Linked DNA regions of Macaca mulatta. The protein of the gene in region 1 purifies or fractionates together with the protein of each later gene. This does not show direct contact. Links are inferred from orthologs where the notes say so. Each region holds a gene or a part of one and is shown on either strand. Other genes may lie near its edges.

What was found.
Region 2: the proteins of CAPZA2 (region 1) and KIAA1671 purify together in Homo sapiens (affinity purification with mass spectrometry; 3 studies listed by BioGRID and IntAct, counting the BioPlex papers as one, with this or other methods). This does not show direct contact. The link is inferred for Macaca mulatta from reciprocal best matches to the Homo sapiens genes CAPZA2 and KIAA1671.
Region 3: the proteins of CAPZA2 (region 1) and MTCL1 purify together in Homo sapiens (affinity purification with mass spectrometry; 3 studies listed by BioGRID and IntAct, counting the BioPlex papers as one, with this or other methods). This does not show direct contact. The link is inferred for Macaca mulatta from reciprocal best matches to the Homo sapiens genes CAPZA2 and MTCL1.
Region 4: the proteins of CAPZA2 (region 1) and TWF1 purify together in Homo sapiens (affinity purification with mass spectrometry; 3 studies listed by BioGRID and IntAct, with this or other methods). This does not show direct contact. The link is inferred for Macaca mulatta from reciprocal best matches to the Homo sapiens genes CAPZA2 and TWF1.
Region 5: the proteins of CAPZA2 (region 1) and CNOT1 purify together in Homo sapiens (affinity purification with mass spectrometry; 3 studies listed by BioGRID and IntAct, counting the BioPlex papers as one, with this or other methods). This does not show direct contact. The link is inferred for Macaca mulatta from reciprocal best matches to the Homo sapiens genes CAPZA2 and CNOT1.
Region 6: the proteins of CAPZA2 (region 1) and TNKS1BP1 purify together in Homo sapiens (affinity purification with mass spectrometry; 4 studies listed by BioGRID and IntAct, counting the BioPlex papers as one, with this or other methods). This does not show direct contact. The link is inferred for Macaca mulatta from reciprocal best matches to the Homo sapiens genes CAPZA2 and TNKS1BP1.
Region 7: the proteins of CAPZA2 (region 1) and WASHC5 purify together in Homo sapiens (affinity purification with mass spectrometry; 3 studies listed by BioGRID and IntAct, counting the BioPlex papers as one, with this or other methods). This does not show direct contact. The link is inferred for Macaca mulatta from reciprocal best matches to the Homo sapiens genes CAPZA2 and WASHC5.

What each region holds. Positions count from the first base shown.
Region 1 is NC_133408.1:156,451,281-156,455,243, forward strand, and holds the end of CAPZA2 (F-actin-capping protein subunit alpha-2), read left to right. Parts: intron 1-614; coding exon 615-677; intron 678-1,943; coding exon 1,944-2,084; 3' UTR 2,085-3,463; downstream 3,464-3,963. UniProt on the Homo sapiens protein: F-actin-capping proteins bind in a Ca(2+)-independent manner to the fast growing ends of actin filaments (barbed end) thereby blocking the exchange of subunits at these ends.
Region 2 is NC_133415.1:26,385,773-26,389,754, reverse strand, and holds the start of KIAA1671 (uncharacterized protein KIAA1671 homolog), read right to left. Parts: upstream 2,801-3,982; 5' UTR 2,688-2,800; intron 1-2,687.
Region 3 is NC_133423.1:79,818,082-79,821,581, forward strand, and holds part of MTCL1 (microtubule cross-linking factor 1), read left to right. Parts: coding exon 1-1,131; intron 1,132-2,225; coding exon 2,226-2,381; intron 2,382-3,500. UniProt on the Homo sapiens protein: Microtubule-associated factor involved in the late phase of epithelial polarization and microtubule dynamics regulation.
Region 4 is NC_133416.1:50,804,599-50,808,613, reverse strand, and holds the start of TWF1 (twinfilin-1), read left to right. Parts: upstream 1-1,215; 5' UTR 1,216-1,286; coding exon 1,287-1,311; intron 1,312-2,953; coding exon 2,954-3,031; intron 3,032-4,015. UniProt on the Homo sapiens protein: Actin-binding protein involved in motile and morphological processes. Inhibits actin polymerization, likely by sequestering G-actin. By capping the barbed ends of filaments, it also regulates motility.
Region 5 is NC_133425.1:54,167,935-54,171,434, reverse strand, and holds part of CNOT1 (CCR4-NOT transcription complex subunit 1), read left to right. Parts: intron 1-969; coding exon 970-1,116; intron 1,117-2,073; coding exon 2,074-2,198; intron 2,199-2,446; coding exon 2,447-2,733; intron 2,734-3,500.
Region 6 is NC_133419.1:16,092,702-16,096,201, forward strand, and holds part of TNKS1BP1 (182 kDa tankyrase-1-binding protein), read left to right. Parts: intron 1-707; coding exon 708-2,069; intron 2,070-3,500.
Region 7 is NC_133413.1:135,492,380-135,495,879, reverse strand, and holds part of WASHC5 (WASH complex subunit 5), read left to right. Parts: intron 1-1,052; coding exon 1,053-1,219; intron 1,220-1,298; coding exon 1,299-1,374; intron 1,375-3,223; coding exon 3,224-3,334; intron 3,335-3,500. UniProt on the Homo sapiens protein: Acts as a component of the WASH core complex that functions as a nucleation-promoting factor (NPF) at the surface of endosomes, where it recruits and activates the Arp2/3 complex to induce actin polymerization, playing a key role in the fission of tubules that serve as transport intermediates during endosome sorting.

The DNA.
Region 1 (3,963 bases):
TCTTAGGAGGTTTTCATTGTTTTATATTTTTACACCATATATATAAAGTATAAGGTGTTAGAGAATTTTACATTAACACTGTTTCATTTTTTAAATCCAGATTCTGTTAACTTTACTATTAGGAAAAAGCAAACAAACCCATCTATTGGCATGTTAAAAAAAATTTCCAGAAAAATACATTCTTCCTGATTAGTGTTTTTTTTTTTTTTTTTTTTGGTATCACTGTTCTGTTACATAATGTTCATAAATATTTAACAATATTTAGATAAAGAGTCATCAATTAGAAATCTTTACCAAACTTGTTACCCATAAAGGTTGTCTATTGGAATGCATGTCCAGTGTTTAAAATTGAACTTTTCATCAATGTGTGTATCAATGAGAGTTCACTTTCCTTAGCCAGCTAAACATTGACACCAGCTTATTCTGTAGACTTTTAAAATAATTTTACCTATTTCCCCCTTAGACTTAGAATAATTGATCTTACAATATTTGTTCTTTGTCATAATTTCCTTCTGTGTTATTTATTGTAACATTACATTAACCATACATATATTTTAAAGTAATAGTGGTTTAGTTTTAAATTACAATTTTTATTTTTATTTTTTTTTATTCAGAATGAAGTGCAAACAGCAAAAGAATTTATAAAGATTGTAGAAGCTGCAGAAAATGAATACCAGGTATGATTTTTTAAATATTATATAAGCTACATTCACGTATGAATTAATAGCACTGAAATTTGAATTTCATTCAAAGGCTGAATTTTTCCATTGCATCAGTAAGAGTCTTTTTGTTGTGTGTCTACTTTTAACACAAGGGCAGACTTATTAAAGTGTAGGCAAAAAGAGTGGCAAGTAAATTGAATTCCATTAATATTTTGTATTTTAAAAATACTAAGACTAGGCCGAACACGGTGGCTCATGCCTGTAATCCCAACACTTTGCGATGTTGAGGCAGGTGGATCACGAGGTCAAGAGATCAAGACCATCCTGGCCAACATGGTGAAACCCCGTCTCTATACAAAAATCAGCTGAGCGTGGTGGCATGTGCTTGTAGTGGCGGGTTCTACTTGGGAGGCTGAGGCAGGAGAATCGCTGGAACCTGGGAGGCAGAGGTTGCAGTGGGCCGAGATCGTGCCATTGCACTCTGGCCTGGCAACAGAGCGAGACTCCATCTCAAAAAAAAAAAAGACTAGGTTTTAGCCAACTGTAATTTCTGAGTGCAGATTGAGTATCGCTGATCTGAGTTGTGTGGGACCAAAAGTGTTTTAGATTTCAGATTTTTTTTTGGATTTTGGAATATTTATTATATATTTACCACTCAAGCTTCTGTAATCTGAAAATTAGAAATCTGCATCAATGCTCCAGTGAGCATTGCCTTTGAGCGTCATGTTGATGCTCAAAAAGTTTCAAGTTTTGAAAACTTCGGATTTTTCAGTTAGGGGTGCTCAATCTGCATCAGTCAAAAAATGCCAGACTTTTTAAGTGGCTATTTTTTTCTGGTTGAAAATTTTAATTCAGGCTGTGTCTTACCATTTGGATTATGTGCAATCTGCTTAGATCACATTTCATTTTGTGCTTTACTTTTTGTTATTTATCAGCTTCTAAACTACACTCTTGAATTTAAGCATTTAATTTGTGAATTAGACAAGTTTCTACTCCTTAAAAATAATAATCCATAAATTGTTCTGACATACTAAAATAAATTCAAAACGAGGACACAAATATTACATCTAATTTATAATTTTCATTAAGTTTAATTATTCAAAATTATTATGGCTTTTTCTTCTAGCTGCCTTAACAAAATGTTGGGTTTTTTTTATTTGACTGTTTAAAAACAGTGAAATGGGCTGCTTAAATAAAATGTATTCTGAAAACATCTATATGCTTTATAAATTGTTCTGTTCTTTTGCTTTACTTTAAACTTCTAACTATTGTTTTTCATAGACTGCCATCAGTGAGAATTATCAGACAATGTCGGACACTACTTTCAAAGCCTTACGTCGACAGTTGCCAGTTACACGCACTAAGATTGATTGGAACAAGATCCTTAGCTACAAGATTGGCAAAGAGATGCAGAATGCATAAGATGAACATTGCATGACCGGATCGTTTTAGTGTCTTTGCGTTAAAAAATTATTGCAAAAGTATTCTGAACTGTCAAGCTGCCCAGTCAGATGGGCTGTTGCCATTTAAAATCACTGTAATTAATTAGTTTGATTAGAGCACAAAGCTTAGCTAATCAACCATTATTTTTCATTTTGTTTGTTCTAAGAGGATTGAAAATCAGTTTAGTTTAAATGTCTTTCTGTTAGGCCTTTCTTTCTTAACAATGAAGAAGAGATGATTCTTCTAGTTTATGGTTAAAAGTTTTTGAAGTGTCTCAAAAATATTTTACTAACTGTAACCCTAAAATTGTTGTCTTTTGGTTTATGAAATGGGTAATTTTTGATATTTCCCCAGTTCTTTTTAATGGGGTCAATAATGGACATTCTAGTTTAAGGTGGTTGATGGATTTAGCCATATATGCTGCTAAAGAAATTGTCTACCTTTTCTTCCTCACCTGTTCCATTTATGTAAGGTTGAGATTAGAGGGAAAGCATTTTCTATATCAATTGTGTTTAAACCTTTCAAGAAGGTTATTTAGCTAGCTTAGTGTTGAACTAAATTTTTTTTAAACAAGGCGAGGTCTAATGCTGTTTTGAGATTCTGAAATTAAATGAAAATACTTATTTCAGAAATGCATTTAATGCTTTTTTTCTTGTGACAGTTACGCAAATCAGCTTGAATTCCATATGTCCCTGAGTTATTTTTATCATAAAGCCACAAATGTATTATAACAAGGCAAATTGTAATATATATAATCCTTAACTCATAACCATGTCTCGGTTTATTTTTTTTTCTTGGATTGAAAAGTACTGAAATTCAATGTGACATTAAAATGCAAATTTTCCTATTTATTTGAGTAGAAAATCACTTACCAGTGAGCATATATATTTTAAAATACTTTCTTTGGATATTGTAATTCTTAACTGGTTGTAAATTAGAAAAGCTGGGATTACATATGGTGTGTGGTTACAGTCTAAATTTTTTCATCCTCCTGTGCGTCATAAGCATGTTTGTAATATTTTAAAAAATAGTTCTACTGATGCTACAGGAATTTCAAGCCTGTGGCGAATGTTAGTATTTACCATAGGGAGTGAAGCGGAGTTATGGTTTCATTCAATAGAGTATTGCTTATTATACTTGAGTGGAATCCTTTCCTCACATACTCCTACAGACGTCTGGGCCTGGAAATTTTTTTTTTTTTTTTTTAGAAAAACACCACTTTTATTATGTACAATAAAATATTTCGTTAGCTTGAATTGTATAGATTTTTAAAAATTCAATGAAAGCATGTTGTTTAATTTCTTTTTAAAATCACTGTTGAGCTTTGAAAGCATTGAGAATATAATATGAAAATATGACATTTTGGCTAAATCATCTTTTCTTTTAGTTTTAAAACACAAGTTTTGACACATTGGGATTCCTAAAGAAAATGAATTGGTAACATTAATTATCTGTTCCTTTTTTAAATATATATATTTGAAAGTTTGATGATGGTGAACTAAATACTAGATCTAATTGACAAACTTAGTTCTATCAGGCCATCATGAGTTTCTATCCCATGAAAGTCATCAGTTTCCTGTCTGTTCTAGTCTGGAATGCATTACTGAAAATATATGCAAGTGTTCGTAAGGTGATTTGCTTGTGAGATGGAAGATTTATCAAAAATAATTTAGAACAGTCTGAAATAATGATTGCACAGAATAGACTAGTCTTTTATTGTGTAAGAATGGCAGCCGGGTGTGGTGGCTCACGCCTGTAATCCAAGCACGTTGGGAGGCTGAGTCGGGCGGATCACGAGGTCAGGAGCTCAAGACCACAGTGAAACCCTGTCTCTACTAAAAATACAAAAATTAGCCAG
Region 2 (3,982 bases), on another chromosome or scaffold:
TGGCTGGCCTGGCCCCAGTCAACACCCTAGGCACTCCCCTACCTCCAGGCTTCTGCACAAGCTGTTCCACTTCTGCAGTCCATAACACCAACCTCTTCCCACTGGCTGTAGAGAAAACTAAACTCTCTGACTCCCATCCCTCCTCACAGCCAAAGGCATCAGCCCCTCCTCCTATGATCATGGTTCTCCCCTTCCAGACAAGTGCCTATGTTCACAAAGACTTTCAGGGCATAAAATATCCCCTTAAGGATGTGGCTGCTAGCCTCATCTTTGATACAGTGTCTTGAAAGATTTGTTGAAGGAACAAATGATAAATAAATGAATGAATGCACATATAAAATATCCCTGTGAGGCCGGGCACGGTGGCTCACGCCTGTAATCCCAGCACTTTGGGAGGCCGAGGCGGGAGGATCACCTGAGGTCAGGAGTTTGAGACCAGCCTGGCCAACATGGTGAAACCCTGTCTCTACTAAAAATACAAAAATTAGCCAGGCAAAATGGCAGGCCTCTGTAATCCCAGCTGCTCCAGAGGCTGAGGCAGGAGAATAGCTTGAACCCAGGAGGCGGAGGTTGCAGTGAGCCGAGATAACGCCATTGCACTCTAGCCTGGGCTACAGAGCGAGACTCCATCTCAAAAAACAAAAGAAAACAAAACAAACAAACAAACAAAAAACAGCCCGCAGGACCTCCATGGGGGCAGGGGCAGCTTCTAGCCTCTGAACCTAGGGTGAGAACTGTATCCCCAACATCCAGAATCAGTACTAGACTGCAGGGCAAGCTGACTGCTCCATAGCTGGAAAATAACTCTAAGAGGACAGATCCTGAGTTGCCCTAGGCCACACCATTTCTACAGTGCTCCTGACATAGGTGCTCAGTACATGCTGGTTGATGGAGCCAGCCAGTTCATATGCCCAGCTGAAATATATGCCCAGACACTGCATTGAAACTCTGCACTTCTCTTGGTTAATTGCACCCTTGACAAGCATGCAAATCCTTTAAAAGGATCCCCCTGCCAGAACCACCAAGATCTGGGCTTGTGTCTGTACAAATTCCTCAGGAACTGTCCCTGGCTGCAACAGGAAGGAAGGAGGCGCCAGAGTCTGGGGGTACACACGCATGTTTGTCCAGAAACCTTGATGGATTAGCAGAGGGAAAGCCAGGCCAAGGGAGAAGCCTTGTCCAAATGTCCTGGTTACTCATTAGCCAAACCTCAGAACTTCTCTCTGCAAGGGGGGATCAGAGGGGCAATTAACCCATTTGGAAGAAAGGTTAAGCTAAATAGCTCTCTAATCCTGCAGTTTCAAAGACAGCAAGTAGGGTTTCTGGAATCTTTAGATACTGTAAGGCAAGCACAGGGGATGGGGCATGGGAAAGGAGAGGCCATAGACTGAGGGAGGCACTGATACTTATAGAGCCCCTACCTGTTTCATACCCTTCATTCCGATCCATCCTGCCAGTCTCCTAGAAGAGGGAGGATGCAGACCCTCCTAGGCCAAGCTCATTTTGCCCAGAAGGTCCCTATCTGGACTCAGATAAGTGTTCTGCCCAAGGTCACAAAGAAGGTGCAAAGAAAGTGTTTTTCTTTGTGCAACAGGTACAGTCTTTTCCCTTCCAAAAAATAATGGCTGCTCCTGGCTACAGAAAGTTCAGTGCCGGCGGGCAGGAAGCCCTGGCCACCTAGGCATCGCGCGGCGGAGGTCACACGCCTGCTTCGGGACTGGACGAAGAGCAGGGTTTTAAGGCGCGGCGCCCCCACTCCCAGGCAACTGTGTGCCAGGAGGGCGTGAAAAGGTCTGGCTCTGGTGGGGGTCAACGAGCCGCTTCCCATCCCGGGAGCCCCACCCGTGAGACCGGGTGGGCCGCGCCGCCATCGGGGCGGGGATCACGCGGGCCTGCCTGGGAACAGGGGGACTGAGGCTTAATCTCATCAGGGCGCCTCCGCCCTGGAAAGACGAGCGGAGCGGGGCGCAGGCCAGGCCGGGAGGACGCGTCCAGAGCCTCCGCGTCCGAGGGGCCCCGCGCGCTGCCCTTCTCACGCCCCCCGAACCACCCCGCCGTCCTCCGGGCTCCCCTCGACCCAGACTCCATCTCGCTCGCCGCCCTAGCTTCCCACTGTCCACCTCCGGGGCCTCCAACCCGCACAGATGTCCAGACCCTAACAGCTTCAGGCTGAGTAACCCAGATCTCCAGCGATCCCTCAGCTCCCGGCCACCGGATCTCTCTGAATCCATTCGCAAGGCTCAGGCTAGCGTGGGAGGAGATTGATCCTCTCGCTCCCAGTTCTGAATCACCCTCTGCCGTCACCCCTGACTGGGGATCCAGTGGGACCCCAGGCCTCCAGCGCCCGATCCCCTGCAGGGATCGACTCCCAAGTCGCCAACCGGGTAGCACGTGATCCATTGGCTGCCCTATGCGGGATCTTCCCGCGGGATCCACTCTCAAGTCTCGGGAGACGGATTCCCCGGCTCCCAAACCGGGATCCTCCCTCCCCGCAGACCCGGAGTCTGGGGAAATCCTCCCGGTCCCCGCCTCTTCCCCAGCCAACTTTGCCAACTTTTCTCCCGGGGCCTCGGCCGGGCAGAAACTTGGCGGCCCTCGCCCGCCGCCGTCACCCCCAGCTACCTCGCCGGCCGGGGACAGGAGGTGACCAGCCGGCCCCCATTCCCCACAGCCGCTGCGCAACCTACCGTGGAGCCACCTCCAGCCCGCGCCGCGCCGCCACCTGCCCGCAGCCCGCAGCACCTGCCCGCTGAGCCCGCAGCCCCGCGCAGCCTAGCCTGCTGGGGGCGGGGCCTCGGGTGGGGACGCGCCCCCGTCACCATGGGAACTGCGGCCGGCCGCGCCTGCGCGGAGGGGAACAGAGCCTGCAGGACCCGAGGCGGCAGTGGCGCCTGGGCCTGAGACCTCTCCGGCGGGTCAGAGGTCACGACTCGCTGGGACACCCCTGCCGGAAGCGCTCCCGCCCCTCGAGGCCCGACCCGGCTCTGTCCAACTGGGAACTTTGCTCCCGGTCCCCTCCCGCGTCCCCTGGATGTTCCCCAGTCACCAGCCAGGATTCCCCGCCACCGGCACCGACCCGCTGCCCAGCCGGCGACCCCGAAAGCCTAATGCAACCCAGAAATTAAGGAGGTGCTCCATAAATGTGGGCCCATTGACTTGCCTGGGCTGCTGGTGCCGGCCCGGGGGGCGGGCAAGGTCTGTGCGCGGTGCTGGCGCCTCCTCGCGCCAAGCAAGGGGACTGCACCCGAGAGTTCCCTGGGGCGCCTACTGTGTGCGAATCCTCCTGCCATTGTGTTGTGGATTTGGGTTGTGGGGTAATGGGTATAGGAACTTGTGACAAGTTGAGAGAATCGTAGGAAGTCGCCTCTGAAAGAAAATACCTGTTCTGTTATCCTTTACTCATTTCATTCAGCAGATCTTTATTAAGCACCTATTGTATACCGGGTCCTGGAGACCCAGTGGTGGGCAGCTGGCAAAATCCAGGCTGTTGTGCAGCTTACAGATATTGAAACAAATAATTTCGCGAGTATATCGAATTGACTCTGTGACATGTGCTCCTATGGGAAATGTACAGAGCATAAATAACTGGAGGACCTAAAATCAATGTGCCTTTATTATAAGCAAGATAGACCTCAATAAAGCTGAAAAAGAAAAGGATATCACAGGCTGTGCGCGGTGGCTTGTAATCCCAGCATTTTGGGAGACCGAGGCGGGTGGATCACCTGAGGTCATGAGTTTGAGACCAGCATGGCCAAAATTATGAAACCCCATCACTACTAAAAATTACAAAAATTAGCTGGGCGTGGTGGCGGATGCCTGTGATCCCAGCTACTCGGGAGGCTGAGGCAGGAGAATGGCTTGAACCCGGGACGTGGAGATTGCAGTGAGCCAAGATCGCACCACTGCACTCCAGCCTGGGCGACAGAGCAAGACTCCGTCTCAAAAAAAAAGAAAAAGAAAGAAAGAAAAAGAGAAAAGAAAA
Region 3 (3,500 bases), on another chromosome or scaffold:
AGCACCCGGGAGGCCGAGCTGAAGCTGCGGCTGAAGCTGGTGGAGGAGGAAGCCAACATCTTGGGCCGGAAGATCGTGGAGCTGGAGGTGGAGAACCGTGGCCTCAAGGCAGAGATGGAGGACATGCGTGGCCAGCAGGAGCGGGAGGGCCTGGGCCGGGACCACGCACCCAGCATTCCTACCTCACCCTTCGGCGACTCCCTGGAGTCCTCCACTGAGCTCCGCCGCCACCTGCAGTTCGTGGAAGAGGAAGCGGAGCTGCTCCGGAGGTCCATCTCCGAGATCGAAGACCACAACCGGCAGCTGACCCACGAGCTCAGCAAGTTTAAGTTTGAGCCTCCCCGGGAGCCGGGCTGGCTCGGGGAGGGTGCGAGTCCTGGTGCCGGGGGAGGGGCACCCCTGCAGGAGGAGCTGAAGTCAGCCAGGCTGCAGATCAGCGAGCTCAGCGGCAAGGTGCTCAAACTGCAGCACGAGAACCATGCGCTGCTGTCCAACATCCAGCGCTGCGACCTGGCAGCGCACCTGGGGCTGCGTGCCCCCAGTCCCCGGGACAGCGATGTCGAGAGCGATGCAGGCAAGAAGGAGAGTGAAGGGGAGGAGAGCCGCCTGCCCCAGCCCAAGCGGGAAGGCCCTGTTGGCGGGGAGAGTGACTCGGAGGAGATGTTCGAGAAGACGTCGGGCTTCGGGAGCGGGAAGCCATCGGAGGCCAGCGAGCCGTGCGCCACGGAGCTCCTGAAGGCCCGGGAGGACTCCGAGTGCCTAGTGACCCTAAAACACGAGGCCCAGCGGCTAGAGCGGACGGTGGAGCACCTCATCGCGGACACCGACAGCTTCCTCCGTGACGCGGGGCTGCAGGGGGGTGCACCCTCGCCGGGGCCTGGCCTCCAGGGTGAAGAGGAGCGGGGCGAGGGGGACCAGCAGGAGCCTCACCTGCTGGGGACCATCAACGCCAAGATGAAGTCTTTCAAGAAAGAGCTTCAGGCCTTCCTGGAGCAGGTGAACCGCATTGGGGATGGCCTATCCCCCTTGCCCCACCTCACAGAGTCCTCTAGCTTCCTCTCCACTGTGACTTCCGTGTCCCGGGACTCCCCCATCGGGAACCTGGGGAAGGAGCTGGGCCCAGACTTGCAGGTAAGGGGGCTCGTGGCTTCGCCTCCCTGCTCCGCCTTGCTCTTCCTCCTTCTCGCTGGCATTGCTGCACTCGGGCTCACGCTGCTCACGGCTGCTTGGTTATGATTTCAAACCTGCATTGTACTAAAGCCTCCGGGGCAACCGGATCCTCTCTCTTGGTTGGGCTCCGTTTTTTTTGTTTTTTGTTTTTTTTTTTTAAGTTTTCTTGTATTGCCTTGTTTCTTTTTCCTTTTTCCTGTCTTATTTTTAACTGCGCCACGGCTCATGGTTTAGAGGCCCTCCCAGACACGAGGCTAAGCCCAGTGGAAGCGATAGGGCTCGACGCAGGCCGGCCTTGCTCCTCTCTTGGTATCTCAACCAACCAGCCACACGCTGAAGAAGCCGTGAGGAGGCTAAGACAAACGCATGTCACAGTCAGGATAATTAGCAGACTCGCTACCAAGCACGTCCCTTCCTGGGTGTGTTTCAAGGGACACAGTGCAGTCCAAGGCCCTAGGCAGCCCAGGCCCCCATTCCCGCTGGAGGATCAGCCAAAGCGGGCGAGGAGCGCGGTGCTGAGAAGGATGGTTTTGGTGGAAAAGCGCTGCTGGCTCGTGCCGCCCTGCCGCCGCTGGGGAGGGCGCGGAGGGCCTCCGAGGACTGCTGTCCTAGCCTCGCCTGGGTGCATGGCCCAGCTGCCGCCCTGGACTGTGGCTTTGGCTGCTCGACCCACAAGTAAGGAAGGAAGAGCCTCGTTTTCCGTTTCCTTCACGGGTAGCGTGCTTGCGGTTGAGTTCCGGATTCACGCATCGCCATCGCATGTGCCCCGTAACCAGTGTTTTGCACCCCCACTTTCTCTTTTTGCTTTTCGGATGTGTCCACCCGCCCTTTTGCTCATTCTCATCTTGGGTCTGTTCTCTTCACTTTCGTCCACCGCTGTCTTTAAGCTGGTGTTTCTATTTGTGCTGTTCTTTGGTCGTTTTCTCAGTCGTCTCCCTTATCCATTTTTGTTTTCTTTATCCCCTCTCCCTGCCTCCACCTTCTTGTCCTTTGTTTTTTTTGTTTGTTTGTTTAAAATTTTAAAAAAACAAAAATCCCTCCCGTGCACCTAACAGTCCAGACTGAGAGAGCAGCTAGAGTGGCAGCTGGGGCCGGCCCGAGGGGACGAGCGGGAGAGCCTGCGCCTCCGAACTGCACGGGAGCTGCACCGCCGCGCAGACGGGGACGCCGGGAGCCATGGGCTGGGAGGCCAGACCTGCTTCAGTCTGGAGGTCAGCGTGGGCAAGCAATCCCCGCCCCCCTTCCATTTTCTGTGTGGCTGGCTGCGTGACGTTTTCTGTCCCGGACAAGGCCCTGAGGGAACATGGCAGGAGGATGTGGAACTAGGTGGAACTCACTTGGCAGCAAACCCATTGTGTGCACTGGGACAGGCAGGTGTGTGCAGGTGCATGCGGTGAACTGCTGTGCTTGTCAGACAGAGGGACAGCTCACCGCAGGCACTGTCCACCTCCTGTTTCCGCAGACCGGGAGCCCCTGGAGGCAGGCCGATTGTTGAGCGCGCAGTGGCTTCTTGTGCAGTTGCAGAGAACAGGGATGAAAACTCAGCCTGGGCTTCCCTGCTCTGGAGGAAACTCCCCTTAGGGCTCCCCTTTTTCGGTTGTTGCCTGTGTCTCGTGTGACCATCCCACGGTCTCGAGTGATACTGCCAGCCGGTTGGTAGAGTCAGGGAGGCTCACTCCTGACCTGTGGGCACCCTTAGCAGGCTCATTCACCACAGTAACCCAGTGTACACAAGGCTGCAGCCACCACAGGGACCATGGTTGGAACTGTTGTCAGAAGCCTGGGAGAGTGAAAGCTCTTAGACACAGGCCACCCAACCCGGGAGAGAAAGAGGGGGTTCCCAAGGAGCTGTTGAATGAGGAAACACCTTTAAAAGTCCAGATGCTGTGTCAGTGTAAAGTATGATTAGTAATAGAGAGAGAATGCAATGTCCTGCCATTGGGGACTTACAAGGGGGAAGTATGTCATAGCTCCCCTAGTCAGGGGCCAGTTTTCCCTTCCCACTGTAGCTCTTCCTTCTTTGCCATGGGCTGTTTCTGGAACCACAGCTCCGGCTACACAGGGCGGCCCCCTTCCCTTTGATGGTTGGTTTTACAGGAACTGCATCTCCCTTTCCAAGTGTTCTGCCCTTCAAGGTGTGTCACACATAGCTGTGTGCAGTTAGAGCCTGTGTCAGACAGCTCTCCTCCCGGATTCTTCCTAGGTCCTTATTGTGTAACCTGGAGCAGTGATAAGTGGTCACCATCGTGAATGCATAGCATAGCTTCAGAAACTGGGAGTGATTTGGGAGAGAGAAGCATACTGAGTTGAAGCAAACCAAATACTGAGGG
Region 4 (4,015 bases), on another chromosome or scaffold:
GTAGTAAAAAACTGGTAAATCAGGGCGAACCATTGTGTCAGGAAGAATTGGGTTAGAATGAAACTCCTCCCTACATTTCTTAAATCCATACAAGTCATAAAACTCAGATTTAGTTTATTACCGAATATAAGAATATGTCTGAAAAACAGAGCTCAGATAACAGGGAATAGACCATAACCTTGTTTGCTGTGATCCTTGTAAAGAAAAACAATTGCAGGCCTGTGAATTACTCATTAAAAATACATTGTATAGTATTTGAATAGTGATTAACTCGCACTTATATTATTGACCTGAATAAATTACTTGTTCATTAGATTATAATTTTGTATATGTGTGACTTCAAGGCCCTAAAAATAATAACTAGCTTCTCACCTAGTAGCAGTAGAGAAGCAGTACCAAAAAAACCCAAACTCCCCCAAAAACTAACATTACCTTTCAGGAACTATATGTTTGTAAAAGCAGGAATGGAAAAGATTTTAAAGTAATACCTGCTGTTACCTTACAAATCTGTCCAAGTGAATTTTGAATAATTATTGGATTAAATAATAAACTGCCAACCTAAAGCAGAGCAGGATTTGCAATGGTATAATCGACCACAGAGGGATACTCAAATCAGCTAATCTCTTAGTGGCTGTCTCTTTTTGGAGTGAAGAGAAAGATACAGTGAGTCTCTAAATGTGTCCAACTGAAAAGAAAAGTTAACAGTCTGAGATTAACTCAATTTAAAATCGTGGAAAAATTTGATGAAAGGCAGTCTATAATATATTCTTTCAAAACAGTGGAGCAAGGAGAAGGCTCTTCTACACTAAACGGTATCGATTATAGGAAGAGTAAACCAAGAAAGATAATGTGCACATCTTTTTTAAGCTGAAAATGCCTATTTGGTAAAATGATCATTTCTGTTTTAAAACATCCCTTCGCTGAGGCAGCGAATGGCGGCGTCGGCGCGATCTTCAGAGGGCAGACGTCGGAGCACGGAGCTGTGTAGATTCTGCGGCATTTCCCCCCAGGGAGAAGCGGGAGAGGCGGCGGCAAGAGCAGAAGCAGGACCCCAAACAGAGAGCTAAGGTCGCAAGGCCGGGGGTTGTACTGCAGCCCGACGGCCAGGAAGGGCGGTGGGGCGGTCGGGGCGCTCGGGCACTCAGTCAATCTCACGGGGCGGGGCGGCCCCGGGTCGCGGGCGGATGACGCGCCGGGACCGGCGGAGGAGCAGCCACTTCCTGGGGCCGCCGGCCGGGGCCGCTCGCCGCACTCAGCGCCGGAGCCGGGAACTAGCGGCCGCCGCCATGTCCCACCAGACCGGCATCCAAGGTAACAGAGCCCGGCGCGACCCGCAGGGAAGGGGCTCCCGGGAGGCTCGGAAGAGCCCGGAAGGCTGCAGGACGGGCAGGGCTGGAGTCTGGCCTGGACCTCCGGAAGTCGGTCTCGCGGGGCGAGCCGGGCCTCGGCGCCTCTCCGCGCTCCTGCTTCCTGGGCGCTCCCGGCCTGCGTCCTCCTCCAGCCCGGTTCCTGCTGCCGCCACATTGCAGATGGACTCGAAATTCGGGGGAGCGAAGGAAATTGGCTTTCGAGGCGGCCTGGTTGAAGGGGGCGTGCCTTCCACCGTCCCCGACATTAGCCCAACTTTCCCCCTTTTGGTCAGGTAGGGAAGAGCTGGGACAGTGGAGGCGCCTGGGGCTTCCCTACGCTGTCGAGAGCCAGGCGAGTTTTCCTTTTCATGATCCAAAGGAGAATATTACAGGACTTTGATTACGAAAAGAAACATGCCAGAATCTTTCTCACATCAGTAGGGGTGCTTCCCAAAACTCTCCAGCACTTTCTCCCCAAATAGGAAAGTGAGAGTTGTTCTGAGAAATCTCGAGTGTAGCGTGTTTGTGTTTTGATCTTTTTCCTAGGTACTCCCCAAGGGAAACTGATCTGTATAGTTGCATGTAATGCGTGCAGACAGTTCAATGTGCAGTTATATCTGACCTCCATTATTTCCTGGTTTGAAATTGGGCAGCCTGGAGGTGCTCACCTCATCAAGAGTCAAATAATATATCCCCGGGTTACTCGCGATCACTTAACGAGTTCTAGTATAAACTCAAGCTTTTACTGTTAATAGCGAGTATTTCTCCCAGATGAACACTTAATTGTATGTTTTGTTCTTAAAGATTTTTGACACCACGCCACATACCCCCTGCATGCACGCAGAAGCAAAATAGTATCAAATCTAAAAGCGTTGTTTTATTTATCCGCATTAATTTCGATACATAAATATGTCGTTATTGACTCTCATGCTTGAGCCTTATAGCAAGCACTACCTACTTACATAGTGGTTCTTGCTGCTAATAGACAACACAGGAACGAAATTAGAACGAAATCGAAGCTTTAATAGGAACACAAGCGTTAGTTATTAAATACATATTTATTCAATGATTTTAATCTAGCTTTTGAGAAATGCAAGTTAGAAAAATATAACCAGAATTAAGACAATGCATTTTACTGCCTTTTTCTTTAATCAAGTTAGGATATTTGATATTTACTGTTGTTTTTAACGGGAAAATACAGAAAGTGAATTGATGAAGGAGTGTCATAAGCTTGAAACTGAATTAGAGAATGAAAGCAGGTTTTCAATATTTTTCAAAGGAGCAATAAAAGTTTTTCAAAATTGTAATTTGCTCATTATTGGGTTTGAGTAACTTCAGTATATTCACCCCAGTGTTATTTCTGCACAGAATTATATAGCTAAAACAGATTAGAATTATTAACATACTTTTAAAATGCTAATATTTATATTTCTTAATTGTATACAGTCTTCATTATTTTATGCGGTAAAGTTTTATAATACTGATAATAAGGATGCTACATGCTCCAGATTTTTTCTTTGTGTTCTAATTAATTTTTTCAATATAGATAGGAAAGTATTTATATGTAAGTATAAAAAGTTTACTTTCTTTATCTTTTTCCACAGCGAGTGAAGATGTTAAAGAGATCTTTGCCAGAGCCAGAAATGGAAAGTACAGACTTCTGAAAATATCTATTGAAAATGGTTAGTTAAATATTTTAAAATATTTTTTGTTCCTGGATTAGTGGTGGCCGTTGTATTTTTAAACTTAGTGTGTGTTCTCAGTGATTTGAACTATTAATGTGAAGCAAGTTCAAATCTTCCCTTACAGTAACTTGGATTCCTCATATTTTGTGCAGGTCCCTGTGGGCCCCTGATTTCCTTCTGAATTATGTGACTATCAGGGAAACAGAAAGATGTTTTTTGATGTGACTTCTTCCTCTTTTACTTTTTGTGTCTTAGTTTCTGCACCACAGTCCATTTCTAATGTCAGTGCTTCCATCTCTGGAATGGAAATCACTAAACAGGTGATTATCAAAAAAAAAAAGTTACTTGTGAATTATTCAATAAAGTTTGTTTTTAAATACAAACAAAGGATTTCAAACTCCCATTTACTCCATTTGATTGCAACCTTTGCTACAGAAATGATTATCACCCTTTCTTGTTTTGGGAAAGTTCTGAGAATATAACAAACTACAAATTGATCCTTTAAAAATAATTCTGTAAACAGGGAATCTGGTTGAGTGGGAGAATCTTTTAAATCAGGCAGATTTGAATTTGGACAATTACTACTATTATAGCTACTCAGTCACAAATGAATATGTTAAAATATTCCAGCGGCCTAATTTCTTAAATATCTAAAAATATTTTGCTTTGGAAAAGTAACTTGTTCTTTCACAAACTGGAAGTAAATCTAATTTGTTTTCTGTTTTCTGCTTATGTATTAAAAGTACCACAATAGTTGATAAAATATGCATTTGTTTACATATAACATTCAATAGGAATATATGTATATTGTAAAACAACATATTTTAAAAATACTGAGGTAAAATTTTTAATACCATCACTTCCTAAGTGACCAGTTAAGGATCTAAAATGGAAAAGTTAATCTAACTAGCATCTCTACAGAAGGAAAATGGCACTACTTCCTAAATTATTATTTTCTGGTTTTACTTTTTTGTTTTGTGA
Region 5 (3,500 bases), on another chromosome or scaffold:
CCCAGGCTGGAGTGCAGTGGCGCTATTTCGGCTCACTGCAACCTCAGCCTCCCAGGTTTAAGCGATTCTCCTGCCTCACCTCCTGAGTAGCTGGGATTACAGGCACCGGCCACCATGGCTTGCTAGTTTTTTGTATTTTTAGTAGAGACAGGGTTTCACCATGTTGGCCAGGCTCGTCTCAAATTCCTGACCTCAGGTGATCCACCCACCTTGGCCCCCCAAAGTGCTGGAATTACAGACGTGAGCCACCGCACCTGGCCACGTTTTCAGTTTTTTTCCCAGATACCGTGGCATGTAACTTCACATTGAAGTAAAAGCTACATTTTTTTGGTGGTTGTGGTTGTTTGTTACCTACATCTTCTTAGCCCCCTGTACCTGTTATGTTGACACTGTAAGTTCGGGCACTAAAACCTAAGGACTTCAGTGTTATCATTGACTCTGATCTAGTTAACATTGCTGCTCTGTGCTTCTGGCTTTTATGATTAATTCATTTAAATAAACGTTACTGAACTTACTAAGGCCTTCCTAGCAAAGCTCTAATTACTGTAAGATTCCGTTTGTCAGAGTTGAGAGGAATAAAGAAGTTTTGAGACTCATGGTAACTTTAAAAGATGGTATCATGAAATTATCTGATTTGAATAATTGAGAAAAGCTAGCCACCTCCTTATTTTAACTACCTTGGGTATGGGAGTATGTGCTTCGAGAATGTATACTTAATTTTTTGCACATTATCAAGAATATAAATAATTCCAGATGCTGAAGAAATTTGGATTATCTGTTGTTACTGCCTAGTTTGTAGGCTCTGTAAAATTGAATAGATGTAATAAGGGAATTAACAAAGGCTCTGACTTTTAAAGTAAGAGTTATTATGACTATTTTAAAAGTCAGTCTTATTAATACATCTGAGATGTTAATAAAATCAAGAATATGAATAATGATAGGATTTGTGGCTGCCTTCGTTCTCTCTAGTAGGTGGTCTTGGCACAGGCAGCCTGACTGGTATAGGAACTGGTGCTCTTGGACTCCCTGCAGTGAATAACGACCCTTTTGTACAGAGGAAATTGGGCACCTCTGGACTGAATCAGCCTACATTCCAGCAGAGTAAGATGAAACCTTGTAAGTGGTAGTGTTGTCTGTGATTGTGAAGTGTGACTGATAAAAATGTTTAGTTGTATGTCTCATTTGTGTTAGTAGGGCCATATGTTGATGTGCCTTCTAGACCAGTGGGAATAAATTCACAAATTTGAATTATTAAAATAAAAGTTAGAGATATCAATCCACTTTTGCTGTGGATTCCCAGAACAAAGTCATGGTTAGTAAGAGGCTGCATCCTGAGGGTGTTTGTCCTAAAAGTAAGAAATAGATAAGATAAAGAGAAATTAATATGTGGTAGATAAATGAATGTAACTCTTGTACTTAACCTAAACATGTGTTGAGTTTTTTTTAAAGCAAGTCAGGAGTGACAAGGAAAATTTCAGATTTCTGTTTCCAATTTTTGTTTCACCTCCTTAGTGATTTTTTATCCTAACTAAATTCATAGAAGTCATCTTTATAAATCCATAGGTATAATTGACTGAAGTCCTTGTCATTGGGACTGTGTAGTCATGACACGAGATTTGAAAGTATTCCAGCTGACTTGATAATGTTAGTGTGAAAGTCTTGTCTGAATGTTATGTTTTGTAGCATGCTTTGTGTTTACATCAGTCTTTCATGCACATGCATGATAATTATATGTTAAATGTGATTTTTATTATAAAGTGATAAAGATTTGTTAACTTAATGAGGTTGTATTAAGGGTAAGTGCATTATGAGTTTGAACCAAGTTAACTTTTGTGTTGTAATGAGTCCTGATGAAGATAATACTAATGTAGAATTATGGAAGGCACTTTGTTAAGGATCTTTTATGTCTACCCTAGAACACGTTAATACTGAAACTTGACCACTTAATACCCTTTTCAGTTTTTTTATATTTCCCTTAAAGTTAGAACTGCAATAGTCTCTGGCTGTCTGTGTTTTATGGGGAAGTGGAAGAAGGGCTTAAATACCCACTGATGCCTTTTTTGTTTCCAACAGCGGACTTGTCTCAGGTGTGGCCAGAGGCAAACCAGCACTTTAGTAAAGAGATAGATGATGAAGCAAACAGCTATTTTCAGCGAATATATAATCATCCACCACATCCAACCATGTCTGTTGATGAGGTGAGTGTCTAGGATGATCCGATTATTTATTGTTTAAGCCAGTCTTAAATAAATGTCCTTTTCAGTGTTTTTAGAAATCCAGCTCAAAGTGCTCTGATATAGCAATGTGTGTTTTGAAACCTTAATATTTGTCTCAAGCTCTTTTGGTAAATATTCTACTTAACAGTCTTTTGTCAAGGATATTTGAGAAAGGCACTTAGTAATTGTTTCCTTTATGTGTGCGTTGTTTTTTTGTCTTGCTTTTCCAGGTATTAGAAATGCTGCAGAGATTTAAAGACTCTACTATAAAGAGGGAACGAGAAGTGTTTAACTGTATGCTAAGGAACTTGTTTGAAGAATATCGTTTTTTTCCCCAGTATCCTGATAAAGAGTTACATATAACAGCCTGCCTGTTTGGTGGTATAATTGAGAAAGGACTGGTCACTTACATGGCACTAGGTCTGGCTCTACGATATGTTCTTGAAGCCTTACGCAAGCCTTTTGGATCCAAAATGTATTATTTTGGGATTGCTGCACTAGATAGATTTAAAAACAGGTAAGTGGATAGGTTTCCTATGAAGTGTCTCTTCCCTGACCCCACAGACAGGGTCTTAACTCTTACCCAGGCTGGAGTGCAGTGGCACGATCTTGGCTCACTGCAGCCTTGACCTCGCGGGCTCAAGTGATTCTCTCACTTCAGCCTCCTGAGTAGCTGGGACCACAGGTGCATACCACTATGCCCAGCCTTTTGTATTTTTTGTACAGACAGAGTTTCACCATGTTACTCAATCTGTTCTTAAACTCCCGCCTCGGTCTCTGAAAGTTCTGGGATTATGGTGTGAGCCACTGTGCCTGGCCTGAAGCTTTTTTTTTTTTTTTTTATTTGACATGGGGTCTTGCTCTGTTGCCCAGGCTGGAGTGCAGTGGTGCGATCTGGGCTCACTGCAACCTCTACCTCCGGAGTTCAAGCGATTCTCCTGCCTCAACCTCCCGAGTAGCTGGGATTAGAGACGCGTGCCACTGCACCCAGCTAATTTTTGTATTTTTAGTAGAGACAGGGTTCCATCATGTTGGCCAGGCTTGAACTCCTGATGTCAGGTGATCCATCTGCCTCGGCCTCCCAGAGTGCTGGGATTGTAGGTGTGAGCCACTGGGCCTGGCTAAAGCTTCTCTTTTTAAAAATAAGTGGTAGGAAAACTAAAATGAGAGCAGAGGTTTTTGGTTGGATATTTATGAGGTATACTTTGTACAGTAGAAGTCTTCCCTTTTAGGTGTATAGTTCTTTGAATTTTGGCAAATTTATGTAGTTCTGTAACTCCCACC
Region 6 (3,500 bases), on another chromosome or scaffold:
TCACCCTCACCTAACTGGGAGTTGGGCATTGTGGCCACCGGCCCTAATGTACAGATGAGGAAGCTGAGACTCAGAGAGACCAAGTGTCTGCCATACGTGAGGGAGGGCACATACTGGTAAGAGGCAGTGCTGGGACGGCTCAAGCTAGGCACTGTCACGTCCCCCGGTGCCTTTTGCCTGGGTCCCATGGCCTTCCTGCTTCCTTGGCACCTCTGGAGTGGCAGGAGGAGCACCCCGTCCGTGCTGTAGCCACTCCTGCGACTGCTCTGTAGCTGCACTGCACCTCAAGTCCTGCTTTGAGGCGAAACCCTCTCTCCCCTCCCGACTCCCACATGCCGAGATGCCTCAATAGCCAGATTCTCAATGTTCCTTTTCCCTTTATAAAGCAGGTGTTCTGGACCCCGAACTGTGGCCTCTGAGGAGATCCTCAGATGAGCTTCGGGTTGAGTGGGTGAGGGGTTCCAACCACCTGAAATGGTAGGAATAAGGCTAGGTACATTCTGGGGGAGGTCTAAAGGGGGCTCTGTGAGAAGTCCTGCCTTGAGTCGTCTATGGGGCCTCTCCCGTCTGTCCTGAGAGGACCCCCTTAGGTTCCAGTTTCCTCCTCCCAGCCTGGGAGAAGTTGACCTGGGGTCTGTGTGGGGTTGGAGGGGACCCTGCCCGCCCCACTGAGAGGTGAGTGACGGCTCTTGACCTTTCTCTTGCAGATTTCCAAGCCCTGGATTCCCTCAAGTCCAGCCCCTTCCTCAGAGAATGGAGGCCCTGCCAGCCCAGGCCTCCCCGCAGAAGCCTCAGGCTCAGGCCCTGGCTCTCCCCATCTTCACTCACCCGATAAGAGTTCTCCCTGCCACTTGCAGCTTCTGGAAGCCCAGAGTCCTGATGCTTCCCAGGCTTCTCCTTGCCCCGCTGTGACTCCATCAGCTCCAAGTGCAGCCCTGCCTGAGGAGGGCTCCCGCCACACCCCCAGCCCCGGGCTCCCTGCTGAGGGGGCTCCAGAGGCCCCCAGACCCAGCAGCCCTCCCCCTGAGGTCTCGGAGCCCCACAGCCTGGATCAGCCCCCTGCCACCTCGCCCCGGCCCCTGATCGAGGTGGGTGAGTTGCTTGATCTCACTCGGACGTTTCCATCTGGCGGGGAGGAGGAGGCCAAGGGTGACGCACACCTCCGCCCCACCAGCCTGGTTCAGCGCCGATTCTCTGAAGGTGTGCTCCAGTCACCCAGCCAGGACCAGGAGAAGCTGGGGGGCTCGCTGGCTGCCCTGCCCCAAGGCCAGGGGAGCCAGTTGGCCCTGGATTGTCCCTTTGGAGCAGAGTCCAACTGGAGCTTATCACAGTCCTTCGAATGGACCTTCCCCACGCGGCCCTCGGGTCTGGGCGTGTGGCGGCTGGACTCCCCGCCTCCCTCCCCCATCACTGAAGCCAGTGAGGCTGCCGAGGCTGCTGAGGCTGGCAACTTGGCTGTTTCCAGCAGGGAAGAAGGAGTGTCTCAGCAGGGGCAAGGGACCGGGTCAGCTCCAAGTGGGTCAGGAAGGCCTAGTTCCTGGGTGCAAGGGGATGATCCAAGCATGTCCCTCCCCGAGAAGGGCGATGGGGAGAGTCAACCTCAATTCCCAGCTGTTCCCCTTGAGCCCCTACCTACAACTGAGGGCTCACCTGGGTTACCTTTGCAGCAGGCAGAGGAGAGATACGAGTCGCAGGAGCCCTTGGCTGGACAGGAGTCCCCTCTCCCCCTGGCTACCAGGGAGGCAGCCCTGCCCATCCTGGAGCCGGTCCTGGGGCAGGAGCAGCCAGCACCCCCTGACCAGCCCTGTGTTCTCTTTGCTGATACCCCTGAGCCTGGGCAGGCACTGCCTATCGAGGAGGAGGCCGTGACCCTAGCCCGGGCCGAGACCACCCAACCCAAGACAGAGGCTCAAGACTTGTGTAGGGCGTCCCCCGAGCCTCCGGGCCCTGAAAGCAGCTCCCGCTGGCTGGACGACCTCCTGGCTTCACCACCACCTAGTGGTGGCGGTGCAAGACGGGGAGCTGGATCTGAGCTGAAGGACGCACAGTCCCCAAGTACCTGCTCTGAGGTGAGAAGGGGCATAGGGAGAGTGGGACTTCTGGGGACAGAGGCCAGGGCTTGGGTGGGCTTCATTCTTTGAACATGGATTTTACGTGTTAAGAGCTTGGGCTGTGGTAGCGAGCAAGGCAGCTGTGGACCTGCAGATCGTAGCTCTGCAGAACCGCACAGGACGGTGTGTGGGGTTTCGTGTGAGGCTGTATCCCAGCTTCAGCATTCGCTAGCTGATTGGTCTTGGGAAGAATGTGCCTTAACTGCTAAGCTTCAGAGTGCTTTCATGATAGTAGCGCCGGCCTCTTAGAGTTATATTGTGGGTAAACAAGAGGGGGAAAGCTCTCAGTACAGTGTGTGGCAGGTGCTGAGTATTCAGTCTCTCATTATGGGAATATTGTTCAAGGCAAAATAGTGTAGCCATTTAGAGCGTGGGCTCCTGGGTTGGTCTCCTGGCTCTGCTTTCCTTTGCCCAGGTGTGACCTTGAAAGAGTGACGTTTCTGCCCTCTGCCTCAGTTTCCACATCTGTAAAATGCGGATAAGATGAGCTCTACCTCCAAGGGTGTTGGCAAGGGTTCAATGAGCTGTAATGTCTAAAGTGCTAAGAATAGTGCCTGGTTCATCCTAAGTGCTTAATACGTGTTGGCTTTTACAAACGTTATTAACATTGAGCTCCAGACCTGCTTTGTAGACAGGCAGCTGGGCCTCAGAGGAGGCGAGCCTTGTGCAGTTACCCAGCAAGTTGGTGGCTGGGCCCGGGCCAGCGCCGTTTCCCGGCCCAGTGCCCTTTCTCCTACCAGGCTGCCTCTGAATTTAAGGGCCGGGGGCCAGGTGGCTTTTGAAATTTATTTCTCAAGCCGGGCCTGGGCTGTAAGGGGCGGGGCTGCAGGAAAGGAGGAGCCAGGGGGCCTCTGGAGGTTAGGGGGCGGGGAGGAGGAGGAGCAGGAAGGGGTTAAGCTGACTCCTGCAGTAGGTGTGTCTGTCCCGGGATGTGGGTGACTCAACTGGCTCCTGGGCGGGGCTGCCCAAGCTGCAGCTGCTCCGAAGGGAGCAGGGCCAGGGTGAGGGAGAGCCAGCGCTGCCAGAGCCGTCGGACAGGTCCCAGCGTGGGGAGCAGCCCAGCCCTATCCCTGCGCCCGGCTGGCCGCACCCAGCAGCCCCGAGGCGGGCGGGGGGCGGAGGGCCATGGCCCAGCCTGGGGACGGGGAGGCCAGCATGTCTGTCCTGGAGCGGCTGCTGGCCAACGCTGCGCTGAGGGATGAGGCTGGCCGGCTCCGAAGCCCTGAGCCCAGGGCTCTCCCGCCCACGAGGGTGAGTCAGGGAGCGTGAGGTGGGGGTTGGGGTGCAAGAAGCCCTGGCTGGGATTTTCCCCTGTGCTAGAAGCTGCCCCTCCTGTCTTTCCTGGGCCGAGGTGAGGGCTGAGAGGTCTTCCTGGGGAGGATTGAGCAG
Region 7 (3,500 bases), on another chromosome or scaffold:
TCTTGGATCGTGAATCACACCTTATGACCCACCCAGCAGTCTGTTCCTGTAAATATATCTGAGAGACTATTTCATCAGAAGTAAAAGCAATGTGAATTAATATGTTTCCTGTAACAGATAGTGTCCTAAATTTGGGGAAATAAATGACTAGTATGAAGAGAATGGTAGCAAAAATTACAATATTTTAACTTGAGGAAACATGTAATCTTAGAAACATAATTATAAAAATAACATAGAAGCATTGGGCAAATTGTGATAAGGAGGTAAAAGCAAAAACAAAATTGCATGTGTATACCATTTTTAGGGTTGTAAAAAAGTGTGTGCCTTGGGGAAAAAAACCAGAAAGGAATACATAAAAAAAATAATAATAATTATATAATGATCATATGCTTGTAAGTGGTATATTTTCTTTTCTGAAAAAGTAGTTTATTGTTTTTCTTTCAACTCATAAATGATTGTACGAAAAAAATTATACCTCACCACTCTTAAATTTTAATTGTGTATTTAACTAGATTTAAAATGATAACTAAAAGCAGCAGAAAAATAACCATAAACTCTTTTTTTTTTTTTTTTTTGAGATTCAATCTAGTTCTGTCACCCAGGCTGGAGTGCAGTGGCGCCATCTCAGCTCACTGCAACCTCCACCTCCTGGGTTCCAGCGATTCTCTTGCCTCAGCTTCCCGGGTAGCTGGGACTATAGGCGCCTGCCACCACGCCCAGCTAATTTTGTATTTTTAGTAGAGATGGGGTTTCACCATGTTAACCAGGCTGGTCTCGAACTCCTGACCTCAGGTGATCCACCTGCCTCAGCCTCCCAGAGTGCTGGGATTACAGGCATGAGCCACCGCACGTGGCCAACTCCATTATTCAAAACATCATTTTTACTCATAATCTATAACCCTATCTAATTGATATGATTATATATTTTTAGAGATATAATTAATACTGAAATCGTCAGAAGTAGTGTGCTTTATTTGAAGTGTTTTCAAGAACAAATGAGCACCACAGGGTCCATTCAGGGTTTTTAAATTAAGTGTATTTCTGTAACACAGGTTCAAGAATTCCACCAGTTGGAATCCAATCTGCAAGTATGTCAGTTTCTTGCCGATACTCGAAAGTTTCTTCATCAGATGATCAGAACCATTAACATTAAAGAGGAGGTTCTGATCACGATGCAGATCGTTGGGGACCTTTCTTTTGCTTGGCAGTTGATTGACAGGTAATGTAGGCAGTGCTGACATTTGCTATAGATGAAAGGCCCTGGGAACATCTTCTTACCATCTCTCTTCTTTTTACAGTTTCACATCTATCATGCAAGAAAGCATAAGGGTAAATCCATCCATGGTTACTAAACTCAGAGCTACCTTCCTAAAGGTAAGCAAAACACAGTGAGATTCTCTGTTACTAGGAAAGAGTTGGCCTTCATTCATACCTCGTTCATTAATTCAGCCCAAGATTTTATCCTTTTAGGAAGGTAAATAATTTCAATATTTTTATAGACTGAAATTGTTAGCAGTTTTTCCATGAGATCATAGTTTCAAAGATGCCAGAAATATTTAAAGTTTTAATTAATATAAGTTGGAATGTCTTCAGGAATACTGTTTTATAAGTTGGAATATCTTCAAGAATGCTATTTTTAAGTGAAGAGTAGTTTTATCTGTGTACTAAAAATGTGAGTCTTTTGTGTCCTTTATTCCCTAGGCATGAATTAAGTCCTTTTACTTATTCATTCAAAAAATTACTGAGCCTCTGCTACAAACTAGTATTAATATCTACAATAACAGGGAATATTGGTGAAAAATAGGCGCAGCCCGTGCTCTCATAGTAATTTCACTTCGTGGTAAATGAACAAAGAATCTACTCAGTGTCTTCTTTTATTTATTTATTTATTTATTTATTTAGAGATGGAATCTTGCTTTGTTTCCCAGGCGGGAGTGCAGCTCTGCCTACCAGTTTCCAGCAATTCTCTTGCCTCAGCCTCCCAAGTAGTTGAAATTATAGGCGTTCACCACCATGTCCAGTTAATTTTTACTATTTTTAGTAGAGATGGGGTTTTACCATGTTGGCCAGGCTGGTCTTGAATTCCTAACCTCAAATATTCCTCCTGCCTTGGCCTCCCAAAGTGCTGGGATTACAGGTGTGAATCACCAAGCCCAGTCTACTCAATGTCTTCTGACAGAGCTACCATGTACCATATATATCAATTCTGAGATGCACCATTTTTTGGGAGGTGGGGGTGAGAGGGATGGGGTTTTACTGTGTTGCGCAGGCTGTATCTCAAACTCCCAGGCTCAAGCGATCCTCCTGCCTTAGCCTCCCAAGTAGCTTGCTTTATAGGCGTGCACCATGCGCCTGGCTACTACAACTTTTTTCATATTTTAACATTCCTGTAACTGGGGGTAGGTTTTATCGTTGATGGCATATCATAGTTTAGTTGTCAGCATTTAATTTTTTTCTGAGTGACATATAAAATAATGGCACTTCTTTTTTTTTTGAGACAGAGTCTCGCTCAGTCGCCCAGGCTGGAGTGCAGTGGCGCCATCTCGACTCAGCCTCCCCAGTAGCTGGGACTACAGGCGCCTGCCACCACACCCGGCTAATTTTTTTGTCTTTTTTAGTAGAGACGGGGTTTCACTGTGTTAGCCAGGATGGTCTCAATCTCCTGACCTTGTGATCCACCCGCCTCTGCCTCCCAAAGTGTTGGGATTACAGGCATGAGCCACCGCGCCCGGCCAATAATGGCACATCTTACGCTTGACGGCATATTAGATTGGACGGATTCAGTAGTGCGTCAGTCAGAATGTCTTGATTTCCACACAGGAGTAGCTATCTTCTGTGGCACGGTGGCTCTCAAACTTGAGCATGCATCAGAATCACCTGCGGGGCTGGTTGTAACACAGATTGCTGGGCCCCACCCCCAGGGTGTCCGACTAAGTCAGTGTGGAGTGGCACCCAATAATTTGCATGTCTAACAAGTTCCCAGGTCATGCTGAAGCTAGCGGTCCAGGGAGCACAGTTTAAGAACCACTGCCATTACAGTTAACTAGGGTTTTTCAAAAACTGTATTGTCAGTAACTATTAGTGATACTGATGAGACTCAGTGGTTGTTGCCCTCTGTTGGGTAAAACCCAAATGTTTTGTTGTATGTTACATTTTCTGGAAAAGAAGATTTCTAGGACTCTTTTTGAAACAGAGAAACAGATATGCCTTATTTTTCTTCCAGCTTGCCTCTGCCCTGGATCTGCCCCTTCTTCGTATTAATCAGGCAAATAGCCCGGATCTGCTCAGCGTGTCGCAGTACTATTCTGGAGAGTTGGTATCCTATGTGAGAAAAGTAAGAAATGCATCAGGGTGATATTTACTCTTACCAGATTACTGCTGTTTTGAATACAAAAAGTATGCTTAGGCCCCCAAAAAGTATATCCGTGTCTCTTTCCCTTTTAAAAATCGGATTCCAGAAATTTGCAACACCTAAAAATAAACTTATTGCTACTGTGGAT